2 linked regions of the Oryzias latipes genome follow. The protein of the gene in region 2 interacts with the protein of the main gene of each other region in a pairwise test. Links are inferred from orthologs where the notes say so. Each region holds a gene or a part of one and is shown on either strand. Other genes may lie near its edges.

The links. The genes of interacting proteins can lie anywhere in the genome.
Region 1: the proteins of fgfr1 (region 2) and grb14 interact in a two-hybrid assay, tested with the Homo sapiens proteins (2 studies listed by BioGRID, with this or other methods). The link is inferred for Oryzias latipes from reciprocal best matches to the Homo sapiens genes FGFR1 and GRB14.

What each region holds. Positions count from the first base shown.
Region 1 is NC_019879.2:21,292,666-21,295,490, reverse strand, and holds part of grb14 (growth factor receptor-bound protein 14), read left to right. Parts: intron 1-319; coding exon 320-430; intron 431-529; coding exon 530-625; intron 626-970; coding exon 971-1,033; intron 1,034-2,825. UniProt on the Homo sapiens protein: Adapter protein which modulates coupling of cell surface receptor kinases with specific signaling pathways. Binds to, and suppresses signals from, the activated insulin receptor (INSR). Potent inhibitor of insulin-stimulated MAPK3 phosphorylation.
Region 2 is NC_019867.2:20,593,812-20,597,311, reverse strand, and holds part of fgfr1 (fibroblast growth factor receptor 1 precursor), read left to right. Parts: intron 1-304; coding exon 305-501; intron 502-786; coding exon 787-932; intron 933-1,146; coding exon 1,147-1,268; intron 1,269-2,049; coding exon 2,050-2,160; intron 2,161-3,500. UniProt on the Homo sapiens protein: Tyrosine-protein kinase that acts as a cell-surface receptor for fibroblast growth factors and plays an essential role in the regulation of embryonic development, cell proliferation, differentiation and migration.

The DNA.
Region 1 (2,825 bases), on a different chromosome or scaffold from region 2:
GTTTGTCTATATTTGGCACAATGCAGCCATTGATAAAGCTGCTTATTGATTATATGCCATTATGGCTTTATTTAACATTTCTTTCATGACCTGGAAAATCTGGCTATGATAAAAATGAGTTTTATGGCTTTTCAAGACGTTTGAATGTGCTGGAGTCGGATTGCGCTGCAGACAGTCCTCCTTTTCCAATGTTCAGGAGATTGAGCTTTGATTCAAGATGACATAGCATTTGCTGCTCATTTTGCTTTCATTCTCTAAGTGTCATATTGAAGATTTATTCATTGCTTTGTTTCCAATGTGAGCTCTCCTTGTTTGACAGGAACCCAGGCACCTGCAGTTCTTTGCTGACTTCACTGACTGTGATATCTACTCTGTGCTGTCAGCCAGAAAACTATATGGGGCACCAACAGAATTTGCTTTCTGCATCAAGGTAACAAGAAAAGAAAATAATGAAAAAACTGCAGAGACGTTTGAGGCGTGTGATTAAGTTCATTTAACGATTTTGTCTGCTTTTATCTCCGTGCCTCAGTCTACGAAGAGTTGTTCAGCTCGAGACCTGAAGCTGCTTTGTGCCGATGTTGAGCACACCAAGACCTGCTGGATCACCGCCATGCGCTTGTTAAAGGTTGGCTTACAGATGAATAACTCCAACGTGTGATATCTAAGAGGAGGAATGCCGACGCAGTGCAAGAATCAGATTTAGCTTTGACGGAAAGTTGAGAAAATCTATTGAGATGCTGGATTAATACTGCTACACTTGATATAAGGAGTATGTGTTCATTGTCTGGATATATGATAAAAAAAGTTTAAAGTTGGCGTAACTCCTGGTAATCCATAAAAGCTAAAATGCTGGAATGAATGTCTGAGTCTGTTTTCCTTTTTCACTTGAACAGTGCTGGTCTGGTGGGAGTTTAAAGTTAACTCGTGTTTGTGTTCAGATTCATGATGCTGACTTTACTCTGTGTTTCAGTTTGGGATGCAACTGTACCAAAACTTTATTCAGCCTCATCAAAAGCAAAAACTCTCACCCATGGTAGGACAACCTTGTTGTTATGCAAAATAACATGAGTATTTAAAGAACCACTCTGATGAAAATTGTGTTTTTGGTGTTTTTACACATTCGTATAGCATTTTCTTTTATTACAGTGGGCATATATAAAGTAGCATTTTTAGTATTTCTTCATTCAAGTTGTTGTCAATTAGAAGCAGATGAAAAATGCTAATTAAAACGAAGCATGTTTGCGACTTAGAAAATGCAATGGGCGGGCCACAAGTTCCCTGCTCCGAGCTCTCAGCAACCAGGAGGGGATGGGGGCGTGGGGTTGCTCTACACCAGCAGTCCAGCGCACAACTCAGAGGCAAATTTCTGATGAACTACTGCCGCTATGCAGAAACTATGTCCAAGAAAACTACACAGGTTTTTGGATTTTTGCTAAAAAGGGCTTCATCATCATTAAAAGACTACTGGAAAAGCTTTTAGAATACATCAAAAGATAAATAGAGTGGAACTATAATGAAGCTAACACCTCCAATACCCTAAACAGTTGGTTTCTACCTTGTGACAAAAAAGCCTGAAAATTAAAATCCTGCTGAGAAAATACAGATACATTCATTTGCTTTTCATACACTTACTGTAACTTTACTCAAAGAACAATTGCAAACAAAATCTGGCTGAATATAAACGTGTTTTAGGCAAAATTAAGTTGTGTGTTTGGATTAACTTTGTGGCAACTGTTTATCATTTCTAAAATGCACTCATTGAAAACAATAGTAGCAGATGTTAGTTTTAAGAAAAGTAAATAATGTGCATTTTTTCAATAATCCAAGTCTGGTGTTATTACAGTTATTGCTTAATGTTTCCTTCTGCAGTATGAATGTACATCTATTGTGCAGCATTTCATCAACAACAACTAAACGACTTAAAATTGCAATTTAAAATGCAATAAATTATATTTTAGGAAGAAGAAATACTTTTCTAAATGCAAGAAAAAGGTGTTCTATTTAAGTATTAGAATCATATTTATGGACTGCTGGTGTTCTATAAATAAATAATGATCCACAGTTGTCAGATTTCACATTCTTTTTCTCTCATTCTTTGGTTTCAAAATGTTCTATGACCATCAAGATATAATAACTACAAAGAAGCAGACTTAGTGGTTGAATGAATAACGATATAATGATATTATTTATGTGGCTGGTTCATCCAAAACCTATGTATATAATAAAGGTTTGCTTTAAATTCCTTAAAAACTCACCATTTTCATTTTATGGTACTTGGACAGAAAAGTGAAACAGGGGACATGCACATCACAACATTTACATAGTTTGATTTATTTTAAAGGAACCATGGAAAATATTTACTGTACTTGTAATCGTTCCTCATTAGTGAAGTAGTGACAAAAAAAAAAGGAAAAAATGCATGTTTTTGTGCTGGATGATTGAGTGTCTCAGCAGCAGATTTGCATTCCTAAAAGATTTTAAACCTGAAAACAAAAAACTATAGACTTATAGACTTATAAAGCATAGACGGACTTTTTAAAGAGCACTTGCTTAAATTGCAAGCTTAGTGTGGAAATTTAAACGCTTTGGGATAATCCGTGTAAGTATTTTCGTGAGTGTGTGTGTGTGCTGTTATTCAGTCACTCAATCCATGACAGTTTAAGGGACTAAAATACGGCTGTGTGTCATTCTTCGCAAAGCCACTCTAATCCTCTCTCAATGGTGTTTTCTGTCTGGAATCATCCAGAATTTATGAACATGAAATGACATCAAGAAGACACTAGGTGGCAGCACAGTATCACAACGCAGTACCTTCTATTTTTTAT
Region 2 (3,500 bases):
GGGCAAATTCTGAAAGTTTTGCTTTACTCTGAACCTAAATCTTAGCTTGGATTAATAAAACAAGAAAAAGAAACATGGATAGTCGTAAAATTTTGAGTATACGTTTTTTTGGACTAAAGTCCCAAATGTTTATAGTTGTTCAAACCATCGTCTCCATCCTGATTGAAAAAATTTTTCTAAAACTGACCCAACACTTTTTAGGAGGTTTAGGCTTCAAGTATGCTTTGTGTTTTTGCATGTGAGAGTCTATGATGTTAATTAATCTATCCTAGCTGACTCCGCCCTTGTCCTGTCCCTCCTGTAGCTGTCACTCAATACCCCCCCACCAGTCATACCTACCTGGAAGTAGGCATTTACTGTGCTGGCTTCTTTTTCATCGCTGTCATGGTTGCCATTGCCGTCATCATCAAAATTCGCTCCACATCGAAGAAGAGTGACTTCAACAGTCAGCTGGCAGTTCACAAGCTGGCTAAAAGCATCCCTCTGCGCAGACAGGTAACAGAAAGTAGATAGGGGGTTTGGAAAACTCTTTTCCCCTCTTGTTGTTTATTCAGATTTTTTGAAACTCATAGCTTTTAGTATTTTTGCTTTGTTTGCACATTTCCAATTCTGCTTTTGTGGACGTTTGTAAATAAAAGCATTCAGAACTTGCAGGTGTATTGTAGTTGCTGATGCTCATGTGTAGCAAGTAAGTATTTAAGCTGCTCTGAAACTCCCAAACTGCAGTGCTTTAACACGACCTCTGTTCCAGTATGAGAAGATTAATGTAACTGTTTCTTACATCAGGTGTCAGTGGACTCGAGCTCCTCCAACCATTCTGGAGTAATGCTGGTTCGTCCCTCCCGCCTCTCCTCCAGTGCCTCTCCTATGCTGTCAGGAGTGTCTGAATACGAACTGCCCCAGGATCCACGCTGGGAGGTCCCAAGGGACAAGTATGTTTTTCAGAAAAAACCTTGAGAGTATACCTGAACAGCAGAGGTCTCCTGGGACTGCATTTTTCCCACCTGTAATCTCAATTAAAAATAAAGGAGTTGCGTAGAGACTGAGAAAAATCTAACACAAGCTTTAGATTACAAATAAATCTGTTTTGTTTTGAACTAAAATGTATTTTTTAAGATGAACACATCCATAATTCTCTCCTCACAGACTCGTTCTTGGAAAGCCACTGGGTGAAGGATGCTTTGGTCAGGTGATGATGGGGGAGGTGCTGGGTCTGGACAAAGAAAAGCCAAACCGCGTGACGAATGTTGCAGTGAAAATGTTAAAGTGTAAGTTACTTTCTTCAAATGAAGAACAAGAAAGTTGGACTTGTAGAAAAATTTCTTTCATTGTCCCAAAATGGGTTAGGCTTTAGAGTTAATGGCAGCAAAACGTCAACCTGGGATGCACAGATTTTAGAAAAAACTTTTTTTTTGTTGGATTCCAGCCATCATTTTAACAAGAGAACTGAGTCCAACATCTCATGAAAAGGTTCTAAATCTTTCTTAGAACACATGCGACATGCCTATTGATTCATATTTGTGAATCTTTAATCTATGTTTACAACACCCTAGGCAGCATTCATTCAAGCACCCACTTCCAATGAAAATTCTATTTAAATGCGTTTTTCTGGCTTCCGTGTTCAAAACCCTCACGTTCATGCGTAGCTACGTTAGTTTTTACAACCGTAAAAACCGTAAACTTCGACATATGGGGCGGACAAGGCAGGAATCAAACTTGCAATCTTCCAACCGACCACCCTACCATTGCACCATGGCCGCCCCATGTCACCAAGTCTTATTGGAGTAGAGCTGTGGAAGAAAAAGCTGGACCAAGATTCAAGAGAATCACCGCTTGACATTGCACACCAAGCCTGTTCCAACTGTAGGTTGGAAGAGGCTTGGGATGCGCTAGTAAACAGTAAAAAAAACAAAAAAAAAACTCCATGCTTGTCCAGTGTTAACACCATGGGTTCTTGAACATGCGGCAAATGCACGGTGTGTACATAGCTTTGTAACTGACTGGATGTAGATCAATCAGCCTGTAGTGACTTATTGTCTTCTCTTACAGCTGACGCCACAGAAAAAGACCTTTCAGACCTGATTTCTGAGATGGAGATGATGAAGATCATTGGGAAACACAAGAACATCATCAACCTGCTGGGAGCCTGCACACAGGATGGTAAGACCAGATGGAGGAGGTCCTGCTTCTGACCTTTTCTGCTCTGATTAGACCATCATGTGCAGATCTGTCCCTGAGACAGGAATGTGAAAATGACCTAAAAAGATGTGCTGGACATCATGAACAAATGATTTCAACTCCAGTCTTGACTCTTGACACTCAAATCAGATGCTCATGCTTTCACTCTGATTAAGAAAACCAATCTTCAATGATCCAACAGAGGGTTTCTTCTGCTGCTTTTCCTTCTGTTAAAAGTTCTTTAAAAGAGCTGCTATTGTTTAGCATGTTGGGTTTGCTTTGCAGAGCTTTGATGGTGTGAACAATGTGAATGCAGCAACGCAGAATTCTTAGACGTGTGTGGAGACGAGACACTCGGGACCACAGTTCAAAAATGGAACAAAAAGAGAGTTTATTGCGTTGAGTGATGTTGGCGTCTTTGCTCTGTCAGTTTGTTGGAGCCAGGAGCCTTTGTCAAAAAAACAGAAATACCTCAGGAGTTCATGACACTAAAACACCAGGCTCTGTGAAACCCTCTACAAAACACACAACTAGTAAAATAATAAACACACATGCAATTTAAAACAAAGCAGCTCTGGCAACAAAATAAAATCCGTCCTGGGTTAACTAATAGCAAGATAAAAAAAACAGAGGGGTACTTGGCTCAAAGAGGGGCAGGTCACAACCACACCCCTCTGTGTTCCAATGTCGCTGTCCCCTCTGACCGCTGTCTGGCTCCTGACTCAGCTGCTCCTCTGGTGCCGGCCAGGGCTCGTCTATCCTGACTTCCAAGGCGCCCCTCTCTGATCTGTCCCGGCGGCGCTTTACCCAACGATGAGTGTTCCTCTAATGTCAGTCCAGCGCTTGCTTGTCCTGGAGCACTCCTCCGACCAGTCGCTCCTAGCATTTGGTTGTCTGGTGGCTTTTCCTCCAACTGCTCATCTTCCACTGCTCAGTATAGCTCTTCTCGGGCAACGGCTTGTGAAATAAGAACACGGTTCACCCTGTTACATGAAGTTCAGATACCTCTGTTGAAGAACCGAGTCTGTACAGTGCTGGTCCACCGATATTAATTGCAACCCTTTCGTACACATGCACACTGTCAGAGGGAGATGGTCACGTTGTTCCTTGTCTACCGCCCTCCAAAATGGTTAGGCTGGCTGGCGGCTGCTGCCAGGGCGTCCGTGGGGTTCCTGCGCCCCTAACCTTGCAGCACTTTTTCCGCGAGGCGAGTGAGTCCACAATATCTGAGTTGGGTGGACCATATCCCAGAGAAGATGGGTAAAGCTCCTTTTCTGGGCACACCGGGGCAACGCAATTTTTCCATCACTGCTCACAGCAAC